Notamacropus eugenii: one gene and its partners. The protein of the gene in region 2 interacts with the protein of the main gene of each other region in a pairwise test. Links are inferred from orthologs where the notes say so. Each region holds a gene or a part of one and is shown on either strand. Other genes may lie near its edges.

Region 1 (7,338 bases), on a different chromosome or scaffold from region 2:
ACTCAAACAGAAACTGGCCCTTACGAGATCTGCAGCCCAACTGGCCATATACCGACTTAAAAAAACCCCACACATTGACATAATTAATGTTATATTGTATTTTACTTTTGTTAAATATTTCCCAATGTATTTTAATATGGTTCAGATCCACTCCAAGTTTTGAAGGCCTGAAGTCTGCATACTGAATGGGGTTTGAAGTAATTGTAAAGGAAATATAGGGAATTTGGGGGTAAATAAATATACTATTAAAATTAACCAATCTATTTCTTTGTTATACAGATATGCATGGTGAACTCTAGAACTGATTTCCTTTCATAAAGAAGAGAAACTCAAAACAAACTAAAACAGAACTCAAAAATATAATAAAACATAAATAATGTTCATTTGTGGTTTTCTAAGTCAATATGCAGTTGCAGAGATCCCTTTCCGAATTTGACAGCATTGCTTTCAAGCACCTACACTCTCCATGAAACATGACCACCCTCTCCTATTTCAAAAAGCACTTGGCACTTCACTTATATTATCAAGTGACTTTAACTTTTCTCATACACCCTCTACTAAAGTAAAAGTTCTGAGTCCAGAGATCACATCCAAGTTTTCTCACCGCCAGCTCCACAGACAGAATGGACTTAATATTTGTTCAATTGATTTTGTTCATACCAACAACACACACAGAAATTGTTTTTCTACCTGTTGGAAAGTAAAGAAACAATTCAAGGAGATTTTAAGTGATTCTCAACTCCTTAACAGGCAGTCAGTAATTATTCCAAGAGGGAACCAGGGAAAGGAGTAAGTATTTATCAAGTATCTAGCACTCTGGTAAGCACTTTACAAAAACCAACTCCTCTGAACTTCACCACAACACTCCCAGCTAGGTGCTCTCCGACCTCCCATTTTACAGCTGAACCAAGTGAAGCAGGCAGACATTAAGCGACCTGCCTAGGCTCACACAACTAGTAAGTTTCTGAAGTCTGATTTAAACTCAGCTCCAGGCCCAGTTCACTGTATCCTAGCTACTACGTAAGACAAGTTTTTAAGGTAAAAATGTTATTTTTAAACATGAATTTGCTACTCAAAAATCCTATTAAATGTCACAATTCCAGGTTAGGAATTCCTGTACTATACTTTTATATGAGGCAGTCAACGGAGCAGTGGACAGGGTGCCAGCCTGGAGTCACAAAGTTTAGTCTTCCTGAGTTCAAATCTGGCCTCAGATGCTTACTATCAGGGTCACCCACCTAACCCTATTTGCCTCATTTTACTCATCTGAAAAATGAGGCAAGAAAAACCCAAACAGGGTCACAGAAGAGTCAGACACAACTAAACTAGGTTTCTCATGCAATGATCTAAGGACTTGGACGGGATTTTAATAAATATATAGAGCAAGACTCCATGTCCTTCCTCCTGGACCAAGAAGGGTGGCTGTCCAGTAAAAAGTCCATATTAAATGGCCACCTTTCTTCATTCAGGAAAAAATAACTTCTGCCATTAACATCAACATGAGTCACTGATTAAGCTCGTGGTCTGCCAGATGTTAAGGGGGACAGATATAAATAAGAGGCAAACTAGGGGATGAAGGAATTTCCATCAAGGAGCAGAAACAAACACAAACTGCCACGAGATCAAACAGGGAGAAGGCCCTTCCACCTGGACGTCAGGCGGGAGGCTTCCCATCTGGCACAGACCATGGCAGAGCCTAACTGGCAAACCTGCGCTCTCAGGACTGGCCCATACTTGGAATACCCTGGCAGTGACCTCAGCCCTCTTAGCTGTCACAAGCGCCCAAACTGCCACAGAAGCTCACGGCGGTGGGCACTAAAGCGGGCAACGCTTACGGTAGCTTGTTCTAAACTTTAACACGGGAGGATGAGACTTAATGCAGCTCTCCAGGGCACCAAGGGTCTGGTCTGGTCTCTCCCAACCCTGCCATTTTATTCCATGAGAGACCCACGAGGCTCTGCCCCTCGCCCGCTGGGCAGCTGGCTCAGCAGGGGTCCTGGTGCCACCAGGCACATGGCGCCGGACTCGGGGGCGTTCCTGGCCTAGGCACACCTGCGGAGATCCTCTCCCCACTGCGGATCCCGGTGAGACAGGTTCCCCAGCCTCCGTGACCGCCCTCCCACGGGCCAGGTCCTCCCGCGGCTTCCGCCCCAATCCCACCCAGACTCCCACAGCCTCGGGCTCCACCCCCAAGCTCGGCACTTCCCGAGGCTCCCCTCCCCCTCCCCGCCCTCCCCGCCCCCCGCGCAGATTCGGCCCCCCCACCCCCCCCAGGCTCCGGCCGCACTGCCCCCCGCCCGCGGCCCCTCCGAGTCCCCGGGTCCGCGCAGCCGCGCTGGCGCCCCCCGTCCGCCCCTCCTAAAGCTCTCGTGGGGCTCTCCCGCGCGTCCAGCGCCGCCCGCAGGGCCGGGCCGGGGCCGGGGCGCCCAACCGCCCCCTCCTCGAGTCCCCCCGGCCCCCCCGGGCCCCAGGGCGGGTGGGGGAGGGGGCCCGCCTCGCGGCCCGCGCTCCCGCCCCTCCCCCCGCCCGCGCGGCCCTCCCCTCCGTACCGTCTCCTCAGGGCTGATGTCGATCTTGAAGGTCTGTTGCTGGAGGGTCTTGAGAGTGATCTGCATGGTGTCGCCGCCGCCCCCGGACGCCATGGCTGCTGTGGGCTCGGTCGGCCTCTCGGGCCCGCTGGGAGGGAGGTCGAGGTGGCCGGTGGGGTTGGTCACATTCACCCTGCGGGGCGGCCTCTCCCCCGGGCCTGGGCCGCCGCCGCTCCCGCTGTCGCTTTCCCCCGGCGTGATCGGCCGCGATCGCCTTCTCCCCGAGGCGCGGGGCCGGTGGGGAGTCCGTCCTCAGCACTGCGGGCGGGTCTGGGAGGCAGTGAGTGAATCCGCTAGTTCATCAGGGCCTGGTCGCCACCATCATGACTCGCTTCGACATCCCCCCTCCCCCTCCCGAAGAAGTTGGGGGAGGGGTCAAGAGGAGGGTGTCGGGAAGCGCGCAGGCGCAGGGGGAGGCGGGCGGGTTGTGCGCACGCGCGGCACGTAGCCCCTGTTCACGCAGGTTCCGAGGCTGGGGGATGGGGGTGGGGTGGAGGAGCGGCTGCTGGAATTCGGGCTGCCGGGCTGGCACCTCGTGCTGGGGCAGCCCGCGTCCGGAGTGAGCGGCTTGCGCTTTTCGCTGCCCCGCCGCCTTTCTGTACGAAATGGTGGAGTCCGGGTGGGAGGGGGGATCCTGGTGCCCGAAGTCCGGATAGTAAAGGAGTTTCAGATTCCTCCTGGTGGCTCGCATCGCCACTTTGGCCTCCCCCGGGCGCCTGCACCATTTATCTCCCCAGTGTGAGTGGCAGGCCAGGCGGTCCTGAACTGGGGCGTGGGAGACAAGAAATAGGGCCACGGTTTGGGTTGGGAGCTAAAGTTCACTCTAGACTGCCACAGCCTCGGCTCTCCCTGCAGTCCTCCATTTTACTGAAACTCAACACGAGCCTTTCGAAATTAAATCCATCAGCAATCATTAAGCGCCGGCTGAGTGCCGGGTACTGCTTAAGCGCCACAAATACAAAGAAAAGCTCAGGTCCCGGCGGAGAGAAGGTGCGGACAACTTCTACAAAAAGGGGAACCAACTGCGTACAAAAAAAAGGTAGATGCTTAGAGCTACGCAGGATTTTAAGCGTTGACCGCGTGTTCCCCTGGAGCCTGGCGCTGACAATGTTACACAGGTGGTGTCAGTTACAACTTGTAGCATTTTACGAATGAGGAAATTGAAGGCGGCTGAGGGCGTTCAGAGGCTTGACCGAGATCGCGTGGCTATTAATGGCAAAGCCAGGTGGGGCCGCGGTTTGGTTGCTACTTTGTTACTTTCGGACTAATCAGGAATTCCCCCTTACCCTTCCAGCTTTTGTTAATTCACCTCCAAAATGAGGGGTCAATTTAGAGAATTAGTCAATCCACAAGCATTTATTAAGAACCTACTACGTGCCAGCAACTGTCCTGGGTGCTGGAGATAAAAATACAAAGAACTAAACAGGCTTTATTCGGACAAGCGTTAAGCAATATGCGATGTGCCTGGCATGGTGTTAGGCACTTGGGGATATAGGTTTAAAAAAGGAACAAAATAATCTCTACTCTAAGAGGAACTTACATCCTAATGGGGGAGTCAAATACGTGTGAGAATATATATATGGCATAAATGTACAATACTTGTAAAGTAGCTAAACATGATACAGCATTACCTAATTAAATATATACACAGCAAAAGTACAGAATATAAATACAGTTTATTTAGAGAGGAAGGGCACCAGCAAAGGAAAGGCTCGGTTTTGAAGGTGGTGCTTGATTTTAATCTCTGCCTTGGGGCAGAGGTGAGGAGGGGGTATATTTTAGGAATGGGATACAGCCGGTACAGAGGTGTGGAGAGGGGAAATGGAGTGCTTTGTGTATAGAGTGGAAGTAGTATGTAATGATGCTAGAAAGATAGGTTGGGGCCGGTACTTTAAAAGCCAAACAGAGGAGTTTATATTTGATCCTACAGGTTATAGAGAACCACTGAAGTTTGAGTAAGATCAGATCTGTGCTTAAGAAAAATCACTTTGGTAGCTCTGTGGAAGACAGATTTGGATTGGTAGAGACCTGAGTGACAGAGACCTATTAGGATGCTATTGCAATAGGCAGGCAAGAGAATAGTCAGGCCTGATCTAGGACGGTGACTGTCTTGAGTGGAGAAAAGGAGTTGTGTTAGATGTGGAATTATAAGATGTAGCAATTAAATGAATATATGGGATGAAGGAGAGTGGATAACCCTGAGGTTAGGAACCTAGAAGACTGGAAGAATGAGTACCTTTAATAGAAGTATGGGAGTTTTGGAAGAGGGATAAAAAGATTTTTTAAGAGAAGATAATGAGTTGTATTTTAGACATATCAAGTTTGAGATGTCCCTTGGACATGCAGTTTGTAATGTGCAATAGTTAGTGGGTAATTTGGAATGGAAGCTCAGGGGAGAGATTGGGACTGGACATATAGATCTGTGCCTCATTTGCATAAAAATCATCAAACCCATAGGGATTGATACAGGTCAACAAGAGAGAGTAGAGAAAGAGAAGAAACATGAGCCCAGGATACAGCCAGTAAGGGGATGTAATATGAATGATGAGCTGGCAAAGGAGACTGAAGGAGTGGTCAGATAGGTAGGAGAACTGAAAGAGAATAATTCCTTGAAACCCAAAAAGGATAGAGTATTCAGGAGAAAAGAGTAATCAATTTCAAATGCAGTGCATATATATGTGTGTGTACATATATGTACACATGTATATGGATAAAGACTGAGAAGAAATCATCAGACTTGGTAATTAAGAGATTGTTGACACTTTATGAGAGATGAGGGAGGAGTTCAGAAGTCAGACTATAAAGGCTTAAGGAGTGAGTCAGATGAGAGGAAGGGAGGAAATAAGTGCTGACTTTTTCTAGGAGTGTGACTGCACATGGAAGGAGAGATTTAGGACAATAATTTAAGATAATCTGAGAATCTAGTGAAGGATTTTTTTTAAAGGATAGTGAAGATGGGTATATTTGAAGACAGTGGTCAAGGAACCAATGGACAGGGAGAGGAAAGAGAGGTTGAAGATCAGAGGAGTGGGTTGGTTGAGGGAGCCAAAGCGTTAGCCTTGAGAGGAAGACTGTTTCATGATCAGATTCAAGGAAAAAAGATGAAAGTAAAGGCTTGTGAGATGAAGAGAGAAGGGAATTTGTGAGGATTGGTCTTCATTTTCTCAGTAAAGAGAGATAAAGTTCTCAGCCAAGAAGGTGGGGGTAGTAGAAAATATGGGAAGCTAAAGGAAAAAGAGAAAGTTTGGAATAGCTTTTGTGGGTTATAAAATCAGGGATTAAAGGGGGAATGAAAGGTACAGCAAGGTCCTTTCTAGCTGGGAGGTGGGGGGAGGGCAACGTACTCTTGTGGGGTATATTGTTAAGAACAAGAATTAATGGCAGTTTTGAGCAGTGTTCATGGAATGTTTGGCTTTAATCTTTTCTTGTGGTTTGATCAGGGCAAGAGGCAGAAATTGAAGTGCTCTGCTGTTTAAAAATACTTGGTAACAAGCCAGTTATTTCTAAGGACAAAAGTCCACAGAACAGTCAGTTGTTTGCAAGGGACAAACTCATGTAAAATGAGTGGATTGCACTAGATGATCTTTGCAGTCCCAATAAAAATTGGGAGCTATTTTTTTCTGACTGCTTGCTTTGCGCGTGCGCGCACACACACACGACAGATGAATGAGTATACAAAGGTTACATATACATAAACTGGCTAATACTGGAATATCTAGCTCAGTGATTAGAAGAGCTTTAACATTTGTAAAACCTTAAGGTGCATTATTTCAGTGGAGCCTTACAGTAGCCCTGTGAGATTGATACTAACTGTTGTATTGTCCCCACGAGCAAGGAAGGTTTGGGGAAGTTAAGCGATTTTGCCTGTGGTGAGTAAGTATCCTAGTTAGAATTCAAAGCCAGGTCCTCCTGCCTCTCCGTCCCCTCAGCTATGCTGTTAAGTTTACACCCAACAGCTTTTCACGGTTTGGAGATAGCAAGGATTTAACTGGTAGCTTATTCATATAATGTTTGTACTTTTCCCTTAATCCATAACCCTCCCCCTAAAATTGTGAAGTTTATAATTCTATCAGACATAAATGTGATTTTGAATTCTTATAGAATTCTGGCATTTTTAGATAGGTGCCAAGTCTCTGTAAACAATATTTTTCTAATAAAATACATGGTAGATTCTTTTACTCAAATGAATAGATGGATTCATTTAAAAAAAATATTGACTGATTGCCTCCTATGCTCTATGTTAACAGTGACTCTTGGTGAAGGCAGAGTTGGCAATATAACCCAATAAAAAGAGGACTGAATTTGTAGTCAGAAGACCTGGATTTGATCCCAGGTCTACTGCTCATTGTGTGTGACTTAACCTTTCTGGGCCTCACTTTCCTCACTTGTAAAATTCAAGAGTTGATTCTAAATTTGATGGTAAAAGTGCTTTTGCCAGGAGTTCTTCAGCACAGCACCCTGAGGGAGCAGGCAGCATGTGACAGCTGAGTCAAACCATTTCTACTACCATGACACCATCTCTTCTCAGACCCAAGGAGAGGCAGCTCAGAATCTGGAACCCCAAAATCCCAGGAATAACAGCATTTCCTACACTTCTAGCCTTGTTCCTGCAGCCACCATGGAACAAAACATTCCATGCATCACCAGCGACCCCACCACTAACATGCAAATAAGCTGAGACACCCAAGAATCGCAGCTCTCCTTCCTCCTGCCCCACGCTCCCCTACCAAGAGCCCATCTCCTACAGTCA
Region 2 (7,462 bases):
AGACTCCGGGGACATGAAAGCTGCCTTCAAGTATCTGAAGGCTGTTATATGGAAGAGGTATCAAACTCCATGCCAATGCAAACTGCAAAACCACCAATTTAGGCTGGGTATTAGGAAAATCTTCAAGGTTAGCTGGCCCCAAAATGGAAAGGGCTGCCTCGAGGGGCAGTAGGTTTCCATGGAAGCTCTCTAGGCAGAGGCTGAACAAGCACCTGTCCATGAAATAATGAGGATGCCCTTCAGGTATGGGCTGGACGAGACAGCTTTGGCAGTGGTGGCTTCCAAATCTCCAATTCTATACTCTGTGATCTCTGTACAGCTTTGGGAGTCACTTGAAGTGATCAAGGAACCAGTGAGAGCAGCTGAAATAGCTAGAGTACTTATTCTTATGTGCCAGGCAATGGGCTAAGTGCTAGGCTCCAAGTGAAAGCATACTAGCTAGTCACTCTCCTCAACAATTTCACATTCTAATGGGGGGAAACACTTCAAGATATGCTGGATCACTAAGGGAGGGAATCAGAGGCTCAGGAGACAGCCTTTGGGGATGCACAAGCTTTGGTGTGGAGACAGAGAACAACACTGGCAGAAAGATTCTCTTCCCTCAAGGGACACAAAGAAGGCCCATCTAGAGAACCAGGAGGAAGCATCTGCAGCATCAAAATCTGCAGGTAGATGAAGACTGAGACGAGACACTGGATTAAGCAATTAAGAGATCACTGAACTTCTGACAAAGCTACAATCAGTGGCTGGCTGGTTCAGTTGCCAGAGGGCATCTGAGTGAAAATGGAGTGAGAGCTGAAAACGTAATGGAAGGCTCCTCTTTCCAAAGTCCAAAAGGGCAAGGCAGCTGACAGAGAGGATGTCCGGCAGGGCTTATAACTTTTTTTAAATGGTGATTTTTTAACTTTATTAAGCACCGGAGTGCAAAGCTCTCCTTTGGGTGGTCCAGAAATACTTCCCGATCTACTAAGATACTCATTTCTGGCAAGTCATTTACCATTTTGTCTTTAGTAAAGCTTTAGTCACTCATCATGAAGTAAAACAAATGGGTCAGAACCAGTTTGTCGATGTTGCAGACACCGTGGCATCTTGTGGTTAATTCTCCCTGACTCTAGGATTTTCAGTTCACAAAACAAAAATCTGTGAGTTAGTATCCTAATGGAGAAAGGTGAAGATCTGTCCACACTTTGTATTGGAAGTTTGAAGTTCAATGTCTGTAGAGCTCTGTAAGGAGGGAGAGTCCTCGGTGCAGTCATACTGCCAGAGGCATCCAGGCAAGGTACAAAAAAATAAAAACAATCTGGAGGCTTTTCTGTAAATGCAAGAGGTAACTCTGCTTGGGTCACTCCTGGAAGAAAGGGGTCAGAGCCCCTGAGGAGGGCCCTGGGCCGAGGCCAAGGGCCCCTCAGCACCTGCAGGCTGGGGCTAGTCGGGGAAGTGAAAGAATTGAGGTTAAATGTCAACTCCCAGGCTTTTCCTGCACCTGCCCTAGGCACCCCGAATCCTGTCCCCTTTCTCGATTAGACACACAGACAGACACACACAGCGGGGGGTGGGGGGAGCTTGGGACTCATGCCTGTGCACAGGCCTCAGAAGAACCTCAGTGAACGTGCTGATCAATACCTACACACCTCAGAACGCCCCCCAAAGCCAGGGGTAGTACCAGGCAGACATCTCACTGATCAGGGGTATCTGCTCTAAGCGTTTTGGTTTCATTTTAAGGCTGAGACAAGAACCGGGTCCCGGATAACGCTGCCAAGTTGTTTACAAACAGCTCCATGCCCAGACGGCTGGAGGGGCACCAAGCAGTCCGCGGTTCTTCGGGGCGGGGGTAAAGGGGATCTGGGGGTGACTGTCCGCGGCCCCGGGCCTCCTGGGCAGGTGGGGCGCAGCGGGCACGGGAGGGTGGCATGTCCTCTGGCACCCGGCAGGCCCGCACACACCGGCTTACACGGCCAGCGGTGCCCAAGTAACCGTACACCGTCCGGGGCAAAGGCCCCGAGGTGGGCAGCCGCAGCGGTGACTCTGAATCTTGTCCCACTCTCGGCAGGGATCGGGCGCGTTTATCAAACCGAGGGCCCAAGGCGGGGTGGGGGGGGGGGCACTGCCCGGGGGCAGACGCACAAGAGGGGGCCAGGGGACGTGCGCCCAGCCCGACCTCCGCGCACGGCCTCCCCGCGTCTCCCGGGTGTCCCGGGCACCCATCATTAAGGCAGAGGCGGCGCCTCCCCGGCCCCGGGCCGAGGACCCCTCCCCCTCTCCCTCCCCCCCTCCCCCTCTCCCCGGCCCCGGGCCGAGGACCCCCCCCCCCCCTCCCCGGCCCCGGGCCGAGGACCCCTCCCCTTCCCCCTCCCCCCTCCCCCTCCCCAGCCCCGGGCCGAGGACCCCCCCCTCTCCCTCCCCCCCCCCCCCTCCCCGGCCCCGGGCCGAGGACCCCTCCCCCTCTCCCTCCCCCCCTCCCCCTCTCCCTCCCCCCCCTCCCCCTCTCCCCGGCCCCGGGCCGAGGACCCCTCCCCTTCCCCTCCCCCCTCCCCCTCCCCGGCCCCGGGCCGAGGACCCCCCCCCTCTCCCTCCCCCCCTCCCCGGCCCCGGGCCGAGGACCCCCTCCCCCCTCCCGGGCCCCCGGGGGCGCGCGCCGCCGCACCAAGGACCCCTCCCCCTCTCCCCCTCCCCGGTCCCGGCCCGGCTCCGCCGCACCGCGGACCCCTGCCCCTCCCCCTCCCGGGCCCCCGGGGGCGCGCGCCGCTGTCACCCCGCCCCCCCGCCCGGCTGGCCCCCCGCAGCCCGGCCCGGCGACCACGTGCGGCCGTGACCCCGCGGCGGGGGCGGGGCGGGGGTCCTACCGCAGGATGTTGTCGGCGTAGGTGAGCAGCAGGCGGGAGGCCTCCAGGAAGGTTTCTCGGGGGTTCTGGCACAGCTCGGACACGGCCCTGGAGAGGGCGGGCGCGGCGGGGCCGAGCGCGGCGGCGGCGGCGGCCATCCCGCTCCGGCTGCGGCTCGGCTCGGCTCGGCCCGGCCTCCTCCCCCTCCCCCCTCCCCGGCCCCCGCCCCCTGCACTGAGCAGGCGCCCGCCCCGCCCGCCAGGCCGCGGCCACGCGCGCCGGGCACCCCGCGGGGGAGGGCGCGTCCTTGACCCGCCCCGGGCCGGGGCTGGGGGGACCCCGAGGACCCCTGGGGCCGCGTCCTCGGACGGTGCTCCCGGGGGGCCGCAGGCGGGCCTGACCCGGACTGGAGAGCTCGGACCTCTGCAGCGCCCCGCACCTAACAGCCCGTCCTCCCCCTCGGGAGCCCGGACCCCCTCAGTGCCCCCTCGCCCGTCCCCGGGCAGCGATGCCAGCCCAGCATTTAGCATGGGCATCGTTCCCCGGCTCGCCAAAGCTGGGCTGGGATCCCCGAGAGGAGCGGGGCTCAGAAGCCCCGGTGGCTCCGAAGCAAACTCGAACTGTGGCGTTTAACATGTTTCCCAACGGAGACTCCAGCCTTCCTGGTACCCCATTAATGCCCCGCTCCGCCCCCCCAGCCCCGGTTCGGCCGCACTGGGCCCCTCCGGCCGCGCTGGGCCCCTCGGCCGCGCTGGGCCCCTCCGGCCGCGCTGGGCCCCTCCGGCCGCGCTGGGCCCCTCCGCCGCGCTGGGCCCCTCCGCCGCGCTGGGCCCCTCCGGCCCCGGGTGACCTTGCTGGACCTTTCTGCCTTCACGCAGGCTGGCCCGGTCTGCGATGCCCTCCCTCCTCTCTGCCCCGGGGCATCCCCCGTTCGAGTCGGCTCAGCTCCAGCACCAGCTCCCACAGAAGGCCTTCCTGAACCCCCAGGCCGCCGGCGCCCCCCACCCCAGGCCCTGCTGTGTGTGTCGTCTCCCTGAGAGCATTCCCTTTGGGCTCCATCTCATTTCACGGCTGGGTTTAAGCCTCTGATGAGGTTAATGGCTAGACCTGTAGTTTACTGTCTGTTTCTTCTCCCTTCCGCCTTGAAGCCCTGACCTGGTAAGGCAGTCATTGCTAAGCCTCTAGTCCCGGTCTTAAAACCCGGGTCAGAAAATGACAGACATGACCCTCTGATGACTGGTGAAAAATCCTTGGTTCTGGCATAAGAGTGAATGACCCTGTCACTGATTAAATATGAAACCTTCTGATCTTCAGTCTCCTCTGTCGAAGGAAGGGTTTGAACTGGACAGTTTCTGAGGTTCTCTCCAGATCCACATCTAGGAACAGTCTACGTAACCATGCAGAACGTACATATGGTGTGTCTAAATATAGAGAGAGAGTACACATACACACACCCCTTATACTTTTCCTGATTTGATTCAATTCCATGGTAAGGAATTCAGAAAGTCCTTTCTCCAACCTATCCTAGGATGGTTTGCTCCTCCTAAACCTATTTTTGACCTTCATTGTACCCATCATTTCTCCCCGCTCTGCCCTCACTTTCCTTTTCCTCCCTTGCAAACATCAATTCTAGAATTTACCACTTTGCCTTACTCCGTCTCTACAATCAAATCCTTAGTCTCCTTATCACTACCATGTTCCCAGTCCAGGAATTAGCACGACCACCTTTGTTGGATCACCACTCAGGCCCTGCTCTCTCAAACTCTGTCCTGGGTCCTCGATGCCCTCTAACTTTTCATCGCTTGCACGGGTTCACCTGTCATCTCAATGCAGGTAACTTCTGCGTCTACAATGGCCATCATCTCTTCCCTGAGCTCCAGTCCTCTATCTATAATTGATCCCTGAACAAGCTGTACTGGGTGTCCTGTACATGACCCATTTTCCTCTATTGTCCTGGAGCTGACCCCTCTTCCTAATCATCCTATTTGTATCGAGAACACCACCATCTTTCCAGTCCCCCAGGTTCACACCCTCAGTCATGTTCCATTTCTGATAGGCAGCTAGCGGCCAAGTCTTACAACATCTCCAACTTCTGGCATCTTCTCTGCACTTACTCAACTGTTGCCCTAGTTTCAGCCCTTTTCACCTTTCATCTTGATCATTGCAATAGCTTCCTCATCTAGTCTCTCTCCTCTCCAGCCCTTCCTTCTCAGAACTGACAAAGTGACATTCCTAAAGCTGTTGCACCATGTCAGAAAAAAAAGGGAAAAGCTCCAGTGGCTCCCTATTGCTGATAAGAAAAAATACCAGCACCTCTATAATTCAAAGTCCTTCAGAGTCTCCATCTACACCACTTGACATCCAGGTGAATTGGGGATAGGGCACTAGACTTGGAGTCGTGAAGACCTGAGTTTGAATCCTCCTTCAGACATTGGAGCATGTCACTTAACTTTTCTGTACTTCATCTGTAAAATGATGTTGATGACCTCTAAAAGCAGATAGCCTCCAAAATCCTTTCTAGCTCTAAATCTGTGATTTCACAGTATCCTTCCAGGCCCACAGCTCTCCTTTTCACACACTCTACAGTCCTACCCAACAGGTTTATTTGCTGTTTCCTAAACATCACATTCCATTTTCAGTCTCCACACCTTTGTGCAGGCTGCTTCCTCCCCTACTGGGCTATATTCCTTCCTCACTCCTACTTCTTAGAATCCATAATTACTTTCAAAGCTGAGCTAGAGAGGGCTTCCTCCATGAAGACTTTTCTGACCCCTGTGCTTTCCCCAATGACTATGTACATATTTTATATTTATTTTGTGTCCATGTGATTTCCCCTGAAAGATTGTAAGCTTCTGGAGGGCAGGGACTACTTCCTTTTGATCTTCTTTTCCTCAGCTCTTTGCAGAATGCCTGGCACACAGTAGCCACTTGTTGATTAAATGATTTCCACAGCAAATCCCTAGTCTTACATATAGTTGCCTACTTCTTATGTCATTGTAATATTTTCTTGGGCTTAACAAATTGATTAACAAATTGATTTATTATTTCTGATTACATTCAGGAAACTTCTCAGTGTGTGCTCTTCAGGTGTTGTCCTTGAACCTTTTTTATATCCTATCCCTGTACCTCTTTTTTTGGGTGATTATATGGTCCAAGAACCACAGATAATGGTTAAGCTGGTGTTGGAATCTGGAAGCTGGGTTCAAATCTTGCCTCTGCCATATGCTAGTGGTGTGAATAAGGCTAAATCAATTAACCTCTTAGTGCCCCAGGCAATTCCAAAACTATGGGTTACATTTGCTGAGTTTCATAGGTGGAGTTTCCCTAATGGGAGTTCTTCCATGCTCACATTTCTGAATCCTTCCCCACCAACCAAACCCCAAACAAAACACAAAACCACACAAAACTTAGTGATCGCTACCTTTCTTTCTACTTCATATTCTTTTTCCTTCTTTCAACATCTCCTCATAATCTGTCAGGAATATCATTCAGCTTGAGTATAGGCCTAACATGATAAATATTCTGTTTTTGTGTTGCTCTGCCCCACTCTCCCACCTCTTTACTTCCCTATTGACATTGTTACATGTGTATAATTCTAAGCATCTCTCTAGTCAGAGACTGGAACCTACTAAATTTTTACTCTTACCTCTCTATGAAATGGAAAAGAATGTAAACTTGCAAAGACTCTGCCAACACTACTGAGCCAGAAAGATTTTAAATATGAGTAGACAACAGACTCCCAGCCTAGCTTTATTTGGAGATGTTCATCACCAGAAGGTTGGCCATCAAGCAATGAATTATTAGTCCACAGTAACTCCTATTAGCCATCTCTCAAGGTCAGAAAGGGTTTTGATCTCTTTCTATTGATAATGTTTAATATAAAATTTTAGAATAATCTCTTTGTTCTCTCTGAAGCAAACTCAGAGAGTGCCTCTTCCTATGTCAGCAAAAGCCAGCCAAGGCCGACTCTACACTCCTTAAGAAGACCTTTAACCTAAGACACTATATCTTGAATAATGAGGCTTTCCTTTGTATCTTATTATCTATAGACATATACTATGTTATGGCATATTAATGGTAAAGAAAAATAGACATCTTAGGTCGTAATTTCTATTGAACTTTGTTTAGCCTTTTCCTATGTCAGTTATCTGTTTAGGGCAGGAAGCCTGCCACTCACTAGTGGTGGGATTTCCTTTCTCGTCACTGAGACATATGTTTACCCAGCTGGAATTGCAAGGCCTGACCAACATTACTTTGTTAATTGTCTTGTCTTACTAAATTTATGATTTGTTCAACTAGGAAAGTTCCTTTCTCACAGCATAATGTATATAAGCCAGAAGATTTCTGCACTGGGTAGCCAGAACATTTCTGGCTCCATAATGCATTATGTTACCGTTACCTTTAATAGGGAATTGATTGATTAATTAATTAAATCATAAAATGTATGCAATTAGCCTGTTGCCTTTTCTTTAACCAAGTTTTCAGGTCAACACTATGGAGGGAGTACCCATAATGATGAACTTTTGGCTTTCTTGCATATGTATTATGCTTATCTGTAAACGCATCTTTCCTCTTATATCATCAACTCTTTAGCACAGAAACCTTTATTTTTGTATCCACAGTATCTTCCCCTGATAATG
Region 3 (7,432 bases), on a different chromosome or scaffold from region 2:
CTGACTCAAGGGTCTCCCTACTCTAATCAATCTTCCATACAATGGAAGGAAGAAAAGAATGCCTCTGGGAAATTATACAGTATCCTTAATGAAAAACTGTTTCTTGACACAAAAATAAATTTTTAAAAAAGGATATTCTCTAATAGAATAGTTACTAAACTCTAGTTTGATACTATGCTATATAGCTATAAATCATAGAATATCATAAATTTCAAAGAATCAAAATTGTGAGTGGCCCAAAGGGCAATGGAAAGAACAGCTGGATGTACTGTCGTATTTGAATACTATTAAAATATTACTGAGCTGTAAAGAATGAATATGAGGAATTCAGAGAAACCGGGGAAAACTTCAAAGAACAGATACAGAACAAAGAAATGATTATAATGCAAGGAGAATATAATGTAAAAGGAACAATCATAATGTAAATGAAGACAATGTAATTCAGACTAGATACTGCAACAAACATTATTCACTGAGAACTGATGTTGGAAGATCCTCTTTCTTGGAGTTGGTAGACTATGTGTACAGAATACTACATTCTCTTTATGATGTGAGGCCTGGTTGCTAAATCAGTTATGCTTAATTTTTTAATAAAGTATTATGGAGGAGAAAAGGTTATTTGAGGAGTGCTTGTGGTGTAAAAAACATGAAATGCATCAATAAAATATTTTTAATTAAGCAAAGGAATGTAAAATTACACAAGGAATGGTGTAAAAGATATCATTCAGGGATTGTAAGAAATGTATTATTTGCAAAGTAAGTGTGACAATCATAGTGAAGGCAGGCAATAACTGTGAATCTTCAATGAGTTGGATAGATGCTCTAAGACAGGTTTATGACAGGATGTAATTAGAATTGCATGGGACGAGAAGGGCTGGATGAGTTGAAAACATGCATATTATATATATTAATGAGATCAATTAAACCTTTTTTTTACTTAAAAACTGTAGCTATTTCTAAAATGGCTTAGTGACCTTGACTGAATGTTCTTTCCTATGATACAGATTTTCAAGGATGGAAAACATACCCATGTGTTTACTAGTATTTGCCTGGCACAGCAGGTAAAGCATTGAAATTTACTAGAGTGTGAGCTTTCCTGGACACGGCATGTATATGTAACAATCTATTATATCAAATTGTTTCTCTCTCTCGGATGTTTTCCAGCACAACCATGTTTTTTTCAACTGTTTATATTTTCACTTCGTTTCTAAATTTATCAGCATAGTGAAAAGATCTATAGAGGCTCAAAGACTGTCACTGAGCTAATGAATTTCAGTAGTGTGAGCTTTGAACTCAGATCTTCCTGACCAAAAGTTACCACCTCTGTCCACTACTTTTCTGCCTACTGCCTTTCCTGGCTTCCTTTGGGTCTCATCTTCTTCTACAGGAAGCCTTTTCCAACCCTTCTGAATTCTAATGCCTTCCTTCTTTTAATTATTTTCTATTTTTCCTACATATAGCTTGTTCGTCCGTATTTGTTCGTCTCTTCCACTACGTTGTGAGTTCTTTGAGCGCAGGAACCCTCTTTAGACATTTTGTATCCCCAGCACTGCCTGCCACACTGCGGACACTTAATAAATGTTTGCTGATTGATCAGGCTACCCACTCAACAGCCTCTCGAGGAAAAGGGGTTAAGTCACAACCACCACTATTAAGATGGAAGAAACAAAAGGCTATCTTTTCCTAGATAAAACATTTATTAAAATCTGTGCTCTTTAAAACAGTCCAGGGCTGCAGGGAAACGAGAATTTCTTTTAAGTAGCCATGCTTCTGGGTGAACGTCTTTTACACGATGGCTTTCTTCTGGTAAGATGTGTACAACACCAGAGAGCCCGGACGTTGCAAAAGAGGAGTGCTAACAGGGTTTCGACAGAGAGAAAACAGGCTGGGAGTGGAGGAGGAGGAAGGGGAAGGGCCATAAGGTCCGGGAGCGAATCTCCACCAAGTTTTAACTTCCACTGACCCTCGTGCATCCAGACACGCGGCTCCTTCCCGCGGTGACCACGGGAAAGGCTCGGGGAGCCAGCGGAGACCCCGGCCCGGCCTCCCTCGCTCGTTCCTCCGTTGCCCACTCCTCCACCAGGGCCCTCTTTTCTGCGGGAGCCGGGGAGGGGCTCCCGGGGCTGGGGACCTCAGAGCTCGAGCCCCTCCCGCACGAGGCGCCCAGGGCACCAGCTGGTGGGGGAGGTGCGGAGAATGGGCGGGAGCGCTCCCCCCTCCTCTCGGGCCCCGACCCCCTGCTGGGCCCGGCTCCGCCCAGGCTGCCCCCGCCGTTCCTTTCCTTCCCTACCTGCAAATCGCGGGCGGTGGGAGGCCTGGGCCCAGCCCGCGACCCCGAAGGCCTCTTCTCCTGGCGATGCCCACCCGGGGTCGGCGGGGCCGAGGCCGGGGTGGCCGCGGTTTCCTCCTCCCGGTCCTCGCCCGGGCGAGCTGCCCCGCCCTCCGCCATCTTCCGCTGGGACCAGTGCAGCCGCGGGTCCGGCTCGCTCTCCTCGAGGCTCCGGGGACTTCCGGGGAGCGTGTTACCCGGGCAACCGCCGCCACCCGGCGAGGACGCACCTGCTCCCGCCGCCGCGCCTCCCCTTCCACCGCGCTGGAGGAGCTGGCCCGGGGTCGGGCTCCGGCTCCCTACTTTTTCCCGGGGTGGGTGGGAGGGAAGCGTAGTACACGCTTGCTCCTTCCTAGGATGGCTGCGGGGACACCCCGCAAACCCTGACGTCACCCCACCTGCCTCCGGGCCCCGCCCCCTCGGGGCTCCTGCCCAGCTCGGCTAAGAGGGGCCGAGGAGCCGGGACGTCCAGACTTCGGTGTTTGATACTGTAACAACTGCTTTCACCTTCTGGAGCAGGGTCCGTAACACTTACCAGTAGGGTAAAGCCTAGGGACTCCGCAGAGCAATATTTGTGTTACAGAAGTAGCCAATTACGTTAAAATGCAATCGGCTATAGATACATGATGTATGTATGTGGGGTGTATATACATATATATGTGTATACGTACATATCTATTACAGAAAGAGCCCCTCAACTGGTTTCAAGGCACACGCTCCCATACTGGAAGCAGGGACCCATTCCAGAGATAGTTTCTAGCTTCTGGTAATAATAAAGCAATCATTTTTGTCCAGCATAAACATTATTTTTGAGGAGATAGGTCTAGATACATGGATGTGCGAAACACTGTACTAGGCTCTGGAGGTACCAGTAAAAAGAATCAAAGAAACCCAACTCTCAATGGGTTTACATTTTTTGAATTTTAATTAAACTGATTTTAAAATTTTAATCAACAAGTATGTTTTCTTTTTTAAATGTTTTCTATCTGCAAGGCACTGTACTAGTTGAATTGTGTGTGTGTTCCTCCTTTGTTACCAAAGAAGACCATGCCATCAGAGAAATAAAGACGTGACTTGCACTTGACTTTGTTTTGAGTGACCAGATATTCATCAGGATGACTGGAGATGACCCAGGATGAGGCAATTGGAGTTAAGTGACTCGCCCAAGGTCACACAGGTGAGACTTGAACTCAGGTCCTTCTGACTCATGCACTGGTACTCTATCCACTGCACCACCCAGCTGCTCCAACAAGATACAGAGATTAAGGCATACTACCTGCCATTAAAAAGCTTATAGTTTAGAAGGGTAGAGGGGAAAAAAATAAATACACAAATAACAGTAAGATGTAGCGTGGTGGTACAGAAATAGTCTGAGATTTGAGGAGAGATAAATTGCTTGCATAACCATGAAGATTATATATATCCACAAGGGTAGTGTCTAAATATAGTTTGCCCGGAGGCATAAATCTCTTTGGAATCTGGTTCATCCTTCTCCAAAAGAGACTGTAATTCATGCCTTAAGGGGAACAGTCGAAGAGTCATAAGCCTGGCCAATCTGTTTTCATCAAAGGCCTTATCAGACTAGACTTAATTTAGGGATCTAGGAAGGCTTCAGGAAGAAGGTAACACCTGACCTACAACTTAAAGGAAGGGATTTCAACTGAAACGGATGGGGTTGAAGTAGGATGGGGAGGAGTCTCTTCCAGGCATGAAGAGTTATGATGAGTTAGAGTTAGAAGAACTTAAAAAGGACAAAGGGAGTGGAAAGCAGTCCAATTTGCCTGAAATAAAAAAGTATATGAAGGGGTGTTGACATTATGAACCCAAGAGACTGGAAAACTGGAAATGCTTTTGACAGAAATAGGGAAGTCTCTTAAAGGAAAAAATTTAAGGGGAAAGGCAATGAATTCAATTTTGTACCATTTAGTCAGTCAACAAGCATTTATTAAGTGACTACTATGTGCCAGGCACTTTACCTAAGCATCAGGGCATACAAAGAAAAGCAGTACTCCTTCCCCCCCAAACTCCCAATCCCGAAAAAGTTCCTGCTCTCAAGGAGCTCACAAGAATGGACATACAGTTTGAAACATCCAATAAGCAATCATTTATTGAGACTGAAGCTTAGGGGTAGAGCTTGGGACTGAACATATATCTGGAAGTCAGTTACCTAGAGATGGTAGTTAAATCCATAGGAGTTGATAAGATTACTGAGAGAGTAGGCATAGCTCATTTGTGCCTCCATAAGAACCCTGTAAGATATTTGTTATCATTATTAGAGAAGCAAAATGGTATCATAAAAAAAATTCTGGATTTGGAGTCAAGAGAGACAGCTTAAAATCTACTTCTGATACTGGTGTGACTGCATAAATCCCTTAACTTTTCTCATTTTTCTCATCTGTAAAATGGAAGTAATAATCCCTTTAGTTTTTTCTTCACAAGGTTTTTGTGAGGCTTAAGTGAAATAATGTATTTAGATGTATTACACATAGACTGCTTTGAAAGCTTTTTTGTTTTGCTTTTTATTTTTTCCTTTGAAAATTTCAAGATGTCTGTTACCCTTATAAGAGAGGCACCATGGTATAGTACATAAAATTAGCCTTGGAGTCAGAAAGAAGTGTTTCAAAGTCTATCTCTAATATGTTTTAGCTGTATGATTCTGGTTAAATTACTTAACTCTGTGCATGGCCTAATAAATTCTCTGAGACTCTAAATTAGAAAGTTGTTGATTTTCATCAGTGAAAGGAATTTCTGTACCATTATCTGTATCATTATCATTCCCACTTTGCTTATGAGGAAACTGAGGGTAAGGAGGTTGTAACTCACACCATAATAGCTCTCTAGATAGAATTGGCAGGTTTTGATGAATTAATGGATGTATAGAGTGAGAAAGAAGGAAAACTCAAAGGTGACTCTAAGGCTTTAAGCATGATTACCTGTGAGACTATTTGGGCTATCAGTAGAAATGGGGAACTTTGTGAGGTTTGGGGTGAGGGTGTTGAATGGGGTGTGATAATGAGTTTTGGCTTGGTGTAATGTTAATGAGATTTATGTTAATGAAAGATCTTCCCTGCCCATCAATGGGCCTCAGATTAGGGGAGTCTTGTTTTTCCAGAAGGACCACACCTTTTGTTAATTGCTAATGAGGCACTGAGTCAGGAGTATATGCCCTCAGAAAAGTGTATATATACTCTGAGGTGAGGTTTTGCTTTGGGAGCTTCTTTGGAAGGAGGTTTGGGTGCCAGATGAGGGTCTGGGTAGCTGTCCTCCCCCCTGAGAATAGACCCTAAAAGAGACATAAAAGGAATGTGATAATAAAGAACATTTTCAATGTATACTGGTACTGTTTGTCTGTTGTATCAGAAAGCAAAGCTTACTCACCTGTGATTAGGACTGACTATGTGACTTCTGTATGTACTTAATGTGACTCATTCGAATTGGGATTTACCTGAAATAATAATCAATTTAACCACCAACACAAATAAACTTCAGTAATGCAAAGAGGGATAGATTAATAAAATAATAATAATACAGGGGCAGTTTCTTTTTTCTTCCTTCCTTTGTTCATTCTTTCATTCCTTCTTCCTTCCCTTTATCTTTCCTTTATCTCTGTCTGCAAAATACTTTACATGTGTCTGAATTGTTTGTCACAAGAACCCTTTAAGATTAGTTATTACTATTTGACATATGAGGAAAACAAGTCTGAGAGATATAAAGTGACTTGCCCAGGATCACACAGCTAGTCAGCATCAGAGGCAGGATTTGATTTCAGGTTTGTCTGGATTACAAATCCATCTCTCTGTCCATTATACTATTTAGACTAAGGCCACACAGTTTCTGTCTATAAAATGGACATAATAATATATTTAGCCATAGCATTATTGTAAATATCAAATAAGATAATCTATCTTAAGTATTATATAAATGTGATACTTTGGTGGATCAATGAATGTAAGTGAGGGGACTCAATCTAGTGATCTTGTTTATGTTTTCCTTTCTATGCTCCATATAAAATCTCCCCAACTAGCTGGAGACCTTGTCCTTATTATTTAACATCTCAGGGGTGACATTCATTTAACTTTGGCATTCAGAGGGCTCTTAGAGGTGCAGGAGAGGCAATCATCATTTAGCAGCAAAAGCTAGGTAGCTCAATATATAGAATTTGGACTTGGAATCAGTGTTCTACTTAAGTCAAAGTCCTGCCTTTAGACACTTACTAAGCTGTATGACCTTGGGTAAATGCCCTAACTTCTCAGCTTCAGTTGTCTCATCTGTAAAATAAAGGCATCCAATTTAAATGAGATAAGGTTTGTAATGGCTTTTCAAACCTCAAAATGCTATTTAAATACTAGCTGTTATTACAAGCTCGCTAAATGAGTGAGTAGCATTCTGGAAAAGCAAAACTTATTCTAATGAGGTTTGTGGAAGGATTTTTTTTGGGGGGCAGCCCCAGAAGTTTCCTAAGTAAGTAGAGAGAAAGGGGGGAATGTTGGGGTTCTTTTGTTCTGCATCATGTATCTGATCTTTTGGGGAGTAGCTAGGTGCCTATGGTCATAGGTCACCTTAGGAAGGCTGTGATCCTCAAAGACGACTCTTCAACTTTCCTTTTTAATGTAGGAAAAGCCCCTTATCTGATGTATAACAGTAATGTTTCAGCACTTTTCCTCACTTTCTACGGGTTTGGGGATGGTGACTGATGAGGAAACAAAAGTATTACCCTTTACCTCCATTCCCAGATCTATGATTTGGATTTATCAGTAAGTATTTATTAAGAGCCTACTGTGTGCCCATCACTATACTAGATCCTGGGGATATGAGTATGAAAGTGAAATAGTCTTAGGATTACTTAATAATGTCACCTTTCTAAAAAACAAACATAATCTGTTTTGCAAGGATATTTTTTAAAAAATCAAGCTCTTTTAAGTAATTAAATAACAAACTAAAGATTTTTACTCTCCTTTAGGGTGTTTACAGCATTATCCATGTTATCACAGTATACCAGATGCTGTGATACAATATCCAATAACAAAACCATGTGTGAGGTACTCCTCTTTTGAATTATATCAGAGCCAATATAACTGGTCAGAGAGGAAAAGATTTTTTGTG
Region 4 (7,583 bases), on a different chromosome or scaffold from region 2:
CCTCAGAGGCTCCTGACAGCCAGGAAGGGATTTGAGCTCCAAGGATGGCCTTAACAGGGTCTGGCGGAATGAGGACAAAAGTCATGGTCATGACAATGGCAGTGACAGAGAACAAGGGAGGGAGGGAGGGTCCTGGAAGGGCTAGCTCTGCCACAGAGGTTGCCCGGTGGGCAGACAAGGCTCAGTGACCCAAAGGGCCCAAAAGACAAGCAGCAAGATGAAGGGAAACCTTCCCAGTGAGTTTCTCTGATAAAGTGTCATTTCTAAGATGACATAGGGAGCATTGAGAACCCTTCTCCAATCGATAAATGGTCACTTTTCAATAGAAGAATCTAAGTCATTAAGAGCCATGTGAAGAAAGACTCTGAATCTCTGCTTATTGGAGAAATGCCAACCAGCCAGCGCCAAGGATCTGTCTCAGCCCCATCAGATGGGCAAAGCTGACCAAAGATGAGCCATGTGGGAGGGGTTGGAAGAATCTAGAGGCAGGAAACACTGGTATCACTCCTAGATATCTACCCCAAGGAGACCAAAGCAAGAGGAGAAATATCAATAATAGCTCTTCCTGTGGGAGCAGAGAATTGGAAACTGAGGCAAGGCCCATCAACCAGGAAATGTCTGGTCAATCTGGGCTGTAGCTATGATGGAGCAGTACTGAGCTATGAGAAACGAGGAAGGTAATAGGTCTGGGGAAGACTGGGGCAGAGAAGAGATCCAAGAACAACTACTATGATACCAGTGAGGTTCCTGGGAGCAGCAGTGCCCTGGGGGCATCAGGTACTCGGGGTGGGACTCAGCTGGGGCCTCGGGGTCAGGTCTGGGCAAGCTGGGGTGAGAAGGGCCTTGAGCTGCGGATCCACGGAGGGCTCAGGGCAGAGCTCTCAAGGCTGAGCTGGGAAGATAGGGCGGAATGGCACCAGAGCTGTCCGTGGGAGATGGGGGCTGTCGGCAGTGCCAGCTTTGCCACATGTGTGCTGAGGTGCCCAGGAGGGTGGGCTGAGGCTGTGAGCTGAGCCTGTCCCTTACTACCTGCGTGGCCTCGCTAAGCCTCAGTTTCCCCATGTGTAAAATCAGCATCAAGGCTACTCTTGGATAAACACTTTCCAACCACGGGAGTTAGAGCAGGGAGAGCATGGACACTGTCAAGGAGCGCACGCAGCAGGACCTGAAGCCCAGCCGCCACCCTCTCTCTGGGCCCTGGCAGGGATCAGACTCAGGGGTGCCCGGGGGCAGGGGAGGGGTCTCACCACTTCTCCACCAACACCTTGCAGGACGAGGCCCGGGCGAACAGCTGGTTGACCCGGCTCTCCTCGGCGTCGAAGTGTCTCCTGTAGAAGGACTGAGCGGAGAAGACGGCGTTTAGGCCGCGGTGGCCACTGACCTAGGCACGGCCCGGGCAGGGAGGGTAACAGCGCCAGCCTGGGATCCCCCTCTCCCCCCTGCACAGGCCCCCTTCCCAGCCGGGACAGCGGGGCTCCCCCACACCTGGTTCCGGTAGCCCTTGTCCACGCCCAGCGTCCGCGTGCAGAACCGGTGGCGCGCCCCGAAGTGGCGCATCAGGTAGGCCAGGTCGATGGTCCAGATGCTCCGGGTGAGCTGCAGCTCCTGCAGCGCCTGCTCGAAGGCAGCGTCGTCCTCCAGGAGCTTCAGGTACCTGGGGCGGGGGAGTGCGCGGGTGGGCCACTGGCCAATCATCGAGCTGAGGGAGGGACTGGGGCGGGCCCGGGCAGGGTAGCAGCCAATCCCCGAGCGGGGGAAGGGAGAAGACGCCAGGCAATTACCGAGCTCTGAGGGAAGGCTGGGGAAGGAGCAGAGGGGAGGCATCGGCCAATCACTGAGCTGAGGGCGGGGCACGGTGGACCATCGGCCAATCACCGAGCTCAGGGAGCGGGGGAAGGCGGGGCCTGAGGGGGGAGGAAAGAGATGGAGGCGCGGGTGGGTCACCGGCCAATCACAGTACTGGGGCGGGGCCGAGTGGGGCCGACTAATCCCCGAACTACGGGAGCGGGGAAAGAGACAGAAGACAGGGACCCGCAGGGGGTCAATTACCGAGCTCTGAAAGGACAGGGGAGGGGCCGAAGGGAACACCGACCAATCACCGAGTTGAGGGAGGGACTGGGGCGGGCCCGAGTGGTGCACCTCCCAAACCCCAAGCGCGGAAGGGGCGGGGACAGGGACGTGCCGGGTGGGCCAGCGGCCAATCCCGGAGGTCAGAGGAGGGGTCACCAGCCCGGGCCCCGCCTCACCTGAGCACCATCCTGGAGCAGGCCAGCCCGCAGTCCCAGTGGTACAGCTGCTGCACGATGGGCACCTTCAGTTGCACGAAGTCGCCTGGGACAGAGGACTAGCATCGGAGGAGGGCGGGGTTGGGGCCCTCCCCCCATGGTCCAGCAGTGACCCCGCCCCGCCCCTCCCAATGTGCTGGCTCCGCCCTGGGAGCCTTCGCCCCGGCCGAAGTTCAAATTCCGTCCCCGCCCTGGCCAGTCCTGGGGCTCCTCCGCCCTAGGGGACCCGGGCCTTTGGCCTCCGGATCTCCCGCAGAGTCCCAGGCTGGGCATCCAGGAGATGCTAATTCCGTGCCCCTCAGTCTTGGTCAGGGCGGGCTAGGACCCCGTACATGGACCCCTGGGCCGTGCCTCAGTATCCCCCGCTGGGAGACCGATCTAGGACCCCGTAAGCGGACTCCCTGGGCCGTGCCTCAGCCTCCCCAGCTGTCAGAACGGGCTGACTCCATAACCCTTCCCTTTCCCCCTGCCCGTGCCTCAGACTCCCCGGCTGCCCTCACCGGGCTCGGCCCCGGCTCCCTCGGCCTCTTCCCTCATGCCGCCTGCGGGCGGACGGGCCGGGGCTCGGGCTGTGGAGGCGCCTTGGCCATGGCCCCGGCCCGATCCGCTTCTGCCCGGGATCTCGGCCCCCGCCTCGGTTCCTCAACCCCTCTCCGGCCCCACCGCCGCCACGGCCGCTCCCGGGAGGACGCGAAATCTCTCACGGCGCATGCGCTAGCGCACGCACAGCGCGCCACCGACGCGGCACGCAAGGCGCAGAGGCCGAACCCAGGCCACGCCCCCATCCTCCATTTCCCGCCCCTTTCTCGAGCACGCGCCATGGGCCCCGCCCTCAGGCCCCGCCCCTGTAAGCCTCTAGAGTCTCTTCTCCCGCTCCCACCGGGCTGTCTAGGGGCGGAGCGATCCCCGGAAGTGCCCACCCCGCTTCCGGGCCCGGTGCATGCTGGGACCGCGAGACCCGCCATTCAGTTGCCGCTGTTTGTCGCACGTTCGCGCCGCCGGAACCGGAGCCGGGGCGGGGGCTGCAGGTGAGGCCTGGGCCGAGGGGTCCGCGCGACCCGGGGCGGGGGGAATGGGAACCGGGGGGGGGGGCGGGAACGGGGGGAGAGTAGCGCGTGGGCGAGGGGCTCTGGCTCGGCGTTCAAGGCCATGCCTCCCGCCCCCGCGCCTTTCTCTGGCAGGGCCTCCCTCAGCCTCCTCCAGGGATGCCCTGGGCCCCGGGAAGGAGGGCGCAGGGGGGGGTCTCCAGGCTGGGGGCGGAGCCCCATCCCCACTCCCTGTTTCCCCCAGCCCTGATTCGGAATTTGTCCCCCCCACCTGGACACCAGCGGCGGGGCGGCAGCCTGCCTCAGTGCCCCCCCCAGGCCTTCCTGCACCCGGAGCCCCTCCCCCCAAGTACACCTCCCAGCTGCGTGCCGAGCTCTAATAACAGCGCCCCCCATCTGCGAGGCGCTTACTCGGTGCAGCGCCGGACATTCAGTAGGTGCCGCCTAAATGCTTGTTCCTCCCCAGGGTAGGAGGAGGACCCCCATTGTCTTCTCCTTCACTCGGACCCGGGCCTGGCGCAGGGTTTCCGGGCTGTCGCTGCCCGGTTGGGTCCTGGGGGGCTGGGCTCCAGTGCCTCACGTGTCCCGCTGGGCCCCGCAGGTTCTCGCTGTCGCCAGAATGTCGATCGGTGTGCCCATCAAGGTCCTGCATGAGGCGGAGGGGCACATCGTCACCTGCGAGACCAACACCGGGGAGGTGTACCGGGGCAAGCTGATCGAGGCGGAGGACAACATGAACTGCCAGGTACGGCGTGGCGCCGAGCGCGGCGGCTGGGCACGGAGGGGCGGGGCAGCGCAGATATGGGGGGCAGGCGGGCACTGAGGCTGGCCGCTGGGCATGGAGGGGCCAGGCAGCGCAGACATGCGGGGCAGGCGGGCACCGAGGCTGGCCGCTGGGCATGGAGGGGCCAGGCAGCGCAGACATACGGGGCAGGCGGGCACCGAGGCTGGCCGCTGGGCACGGAGGAGCGGGGCAGCGCAGACATGGGGGTCAGGCGGGCACCGAGGCTGGCCGCTGGGCACGGAGGGGCCGGGCAGCGCAGACATGGAGGTCAGGCGGGCACCGAGCCTGGCTGCTGGGCACGGAGGGGCCGGATGGTGCAGACATGGGGGGCAGGCGGGCACCGAGGCTGGCCGCTGGGCACGGAGGGGCCGGATGGTGCAGACATGGGGGGCAGGCGGGCACCGAGGCTGGCCGCTGGGCACGGAGGGGCCGGATGGTGCAGACATGGGGGGCAGGCGGGCACCGAGGCTGGCCGCTGGGCACGGAGGGGCCAGGCAGCGCAGACATGGAGGTCAGGCAGGCACCGAGGCTGGCCGCTGGGCACAGAGGGGTCGGGCAGCGCAGACATGGGGGGCAGGTGGAGGCAGCCCGCTGGGCACGGAGGGGAGGGCCCCTACCCACCCCAGGTCACGTGTGGTCAGCAGCCCGGCTTAGGGTGCAGGGGCCGGGCAGCACAGACATGGGGGGCAGGTGGGCACCGAGGCTGGCTGCTGGACATGGAGGGGAGAGACCCTACCCACCCCAGGTCACGTGTGGTCAGCAGCCCGGCCTAGGCTGCAGGAACCAGAGGGGCTGGGCAGCACAGACATAGGAGTCAGGCCAGGTGCCAGGCTGGCAGCCTTGGCGGTTTCCCCGCTGGTAGTAATGACAGTAACAACTAATGACATTCATTTTGTGGCAGGTGTTAATTGTCTCCTTTGAGGTCCAGACAGGCCTGGGGCAGGCTCTGTTAGGATCCCAGTCTATGGTTGAGGAGCCTGGCCATTGCCCAGGGTCACCCACCCGGCGTCTGAGGCCTCCCAGTGGGAGGATGCAGGGAAGGCTTCCCAGAGAAGGAGGTCATAGAGGCTGGAGAGAAGCCTCATGGGAAGGCTGCCCTGAGGTTGCAGGGACGGGGCTGGATGGCCCGTGCTGGCAGGTGTGGAGGCTGGACAGCCGAGCTCAGAGCCAGCTGTCTTGGGGATAGAAGTGGAAGGGAGAGCTGGTGGGCAGGCAGGCACTCAGTAAGCATTTCTGTGCCGCACTCCAGGCAAAATCAGTGCTGGGGAGAAAAGGGCAGACCCTGCCCCTCCCCTGGGGAGCTCCCAGTCTGAGGGATGAGACAACAGGTAAGCAGCTCTGGATGATGGGGGAACCAGAACCAACCTAGGCTTCTTGGACAAGGTGGGATTCAACTCCCAGAGATGGGAGAAGAGAGGGTGTTGTAGGCATGAGGCAGCCATTGAATTCAAAGGCACGGAGGTGGGAAATGGAATGTTGTGACCTGGAGCAGAGAAAGTGTAAGGTACCAAGAAAGGCAGGAGACGTCTAATTATAAAGGCTTTGAAGGCCAGGCAGCATTTTGTGCTTGATCCTGAAGGTTATAGAGGAGGAGGGTGGGGGTGATATGCTCAGACCTGCGCTGGCTGAATGATGTCCTGGAGAGGAGACTGAGGCAGGCCATCCATCCAGGTGTGGAGCAGGGTGCCACCAAGGTGAAATGGTTGGGCTTTAGCACCATGTTGGATCTGAAGGGGTGCGAGGGAATAGGGAGCCCAGGGCCTCCTGGGAGGTGTGCCAGGGGCATGGCATGTCTGGCATGGCAGAGACTCAGAGGTGGAAGGGGCATCGCCTCCAGCTCCGCCCCTGTGACTTCCATTCTCAGTGTGAACACTTCTCCAGCTCTGACCTCTCTGTCCCCATCGCCAGTTAGCCGTGCTTCATTCCAGTTGGATGTCATGCCTCATAGGCATCCCCCGAGTCCTCCTCCCCGCTTCTTCCCCTATAGCCATGGAGGACAGCATCATCCCGCCACCCTCACCTCCATCCCCGCTCTGGCTCCAGTCTGCTGCCAAGGCCTGTTTTTCCTTTAGCTGTGTCTCTGCTATTCTTGCTACCTGTTCTGTGCTAGCGGCCTGCTGGTGGGTGCCCCTGCCTGTGCTTTGTCTTCAGAAAGCACAGATCTGACTTGATCACTCCTCTCCTCAGCATCCCCCCCACCAGAGGGCTCCTTGTTGCCTCTGGGATTAAAAAGACTTTGTTTGGATTTGCCTCCCTTTATAATCTGGCCCCTCTCTGGGATCCAGCCACTCTGGATCACATCTCCCACCTCCCATCTCCGTGCCTTTGCCCTCACTGTGCCTCTTGCCTGTCTTGCTTAGTCTGTGGTCAGCCTCTCTCCCGCAGCCATTGCTCTGTAGGGGGTGGAGGTCCAGTCCCTACCCTCAGAGGCAGAGGCAGGGATGCTGACCGACTACTGGTTTCCCTCACAGATGTCCAACATCACAGTCACATACAGAGATGGACGGGTCGCCCAACTGGAGCAGGTTTACATCCGAGGGAGCAAAATCCGCTTCCTGATCTTGCCAGACATGCTGAAGAATGCCCCGATGTTGAAAAGCATGAAGAACAAAAACCAAGGTTCCGGGGCTGGCCGAGGGAAAGCGGCCATTCTGAAGGCCCAGGGTGAGTAGGCAGCCTGCAGCCTGGGCCTGAGGTGGGAGGGGAGCAGAGGCCCAGCCACTCCCCTGCCGGCCCCACTTACTCTGCTGTCTTCTTCCCCATCTAGTGGCTGCCAGAGGAAGAGGACGCGGAATGGGCCGGGGCAACATATTCCAGAAACGAAGATAATCTCCCCCGGAAGAGAACTCTGCACTTGTTTGGTTTGAGAGCTTGGGGCTCAGTGTTTGGGCGTGTCCACTCCCTCTTTTTAGGTGAGGGAGGGGCAGGAGGCTCGCCAGCCAAATAAAAAGTGTCTTGGAGTACTTGAGCCCCTGCGGTGCTTCTGGGGAGACCCGGGCCAAGGGAGGTACGGGGGGTGCCTCTCCACCATGGCCCCCTCAGCCAACCCTTGGAGGCGGACAGATGGAGTGCTGTGCTTGCATAAAGGGAGTGCGCAGGCCAGCTCCCGGGCTGTGGGGACCCTGCTGGGGGGCTGCGGGGGCTGGAGAGGTGATAGACCCAAACTTCAGGAAAGTCCCATTGGCAACTTTGTGGATGGATGAATGGGAGATGAGGGGGAGGGGGTGTGGCAGAGGGGGTCACCCCCCCTCCCCCAGCACTTCCTTGGCTGTTAGACCAGCCCCAGCTCCCCGCTCTGTCTGGTGCCTAGTCCAGCTCCCAGAAGGTATCTAGGCATCTAACCAATTCTGCCTGAGGCCACTGAGCCAGCCTCCGAGCAGCCCTACCCTGGTCCCAGTGGGCTCACAGACAAACCAGAGAAGGCTGTGGAGTTCTTGCAGACCTGTGACTTGATGCTTTGGGGTGAGG

Evidence for each region.
Region 1: the proteins of NGLY1 (region 2) and RAD23B interact in binary tests that used the Homo sapiens proteins (3 or more experiments, as listed by UniProt). The two-hybrid records come from large-scale screens. The link is inferred for Notamacropus eugenii from reciprocal best matches to the Homo sapiens genes NGLY1 and RAD23B.
Region 3: the proteins of NGLY1 (region 2) and UBXN2B interact in binary tests that used the Homo sapiens proteins (3 or more experiments, as listed by UniProt). The two-hybrid records come from large-scale screens. The link is inferred for Notamacropus eugenii from reciprocal best matches to the Homo sapiens genes NGLY1 and UBXN2B.
Region 4: the proteins of NGLY1 (region 2) and GUCD1 interact in binary tests that used the Homo sapiens proteins (3 or more experiments, as listed by UniProt). The two-hybrid records come from large-scale screens. The link is inferred for Notamacropus eugenii from reciprocal best matches to the Homo sapiens genes NGLY1 and GUCD1.

Annotation. Positions count from the first base shown.
Region 1 is NC_092872.1:21,550,782-21,558,119, forward strand, and holds the start of RAD23B (UV excision repair protein RAD23 homolog B), read right to left. Parts: upstream 3,002-7,338; 5' UTR 2,643-3,001; coding exon 2,550-2,642; intron 2,085-2,549; exon of another isoform or gene 1,778-2,084; intron 1-1,777. UniProt on the Homo sapiens protein: Multiubiquitin chain receptor involved in modulation of proteasomal degradation. Binds to polyubiquitin chains.
Region 2 is NC_092874.1:28,791,446-28,798,907, reverse strand, and holds the start of NGLY1 (peptide-N(4)-(N-acetyl-beta-glucosaminyl)asparagine amidase), read right to left. Parts: upstream 3,016-7,462; 5' UTR 2,981-3,015; coding exon 2,844-2,980; intron 2,065-2,843; exon of another isoform or gene 998-2,064; intron 1-997. UniProt on the Homo sapiens protein: Specifically deglycosylates the denatured form of N-linked glycoproteins in the cytoplasm and assists their proteasome-mediated degradation. Cleaves the beta-aspartyl-glucosamine (GlcNAc) of the glycan and the amide side chain of Asn, converting Asn to Asp.
Region 3 is NC_092875.1:276,950,844-276,958,275, reverse strand, and holds the start of UBXN2B (UBX domain-containing protein 2B), read right to left. Parts: upstream 3,011-7,432; 5' UTR 2,450-3,010; coding exon 2,291-2,449; intron 1-2,290. UniProt on the Homo sapiens protein: Adapter protein required for Golgi and endoplasmic reticulum biogenesis. Involved in Golgi and endoplasmic reticulum maintenance during interphase and in their reassembly at the end of mitosis.
Region 4 is NC_092875.1:1,749,694-1,757,276, forward strand, and holds the start of GUCD1 (protein GUCD1), read right to left. Parts: upstream 3,002-7,583; 5' UTR 2,823-3,001; coding exon 2,786-2,822; exon of another isoform or gene 2,762-2,785; intron 2,332-2,761; coding exon 2,247-2,331; intron 1,655-2,246; coding exon 1,486-1,654; intron 1,340-1,485; coding exon 1,248-1,339; intron 1-1,247. Other genes in the region: SNRPD3 (small nuclear ribonucleoprotein Sm D3), read left to right, coding at 3,951-4,076, 6,587-6,779, 6,883-6,944.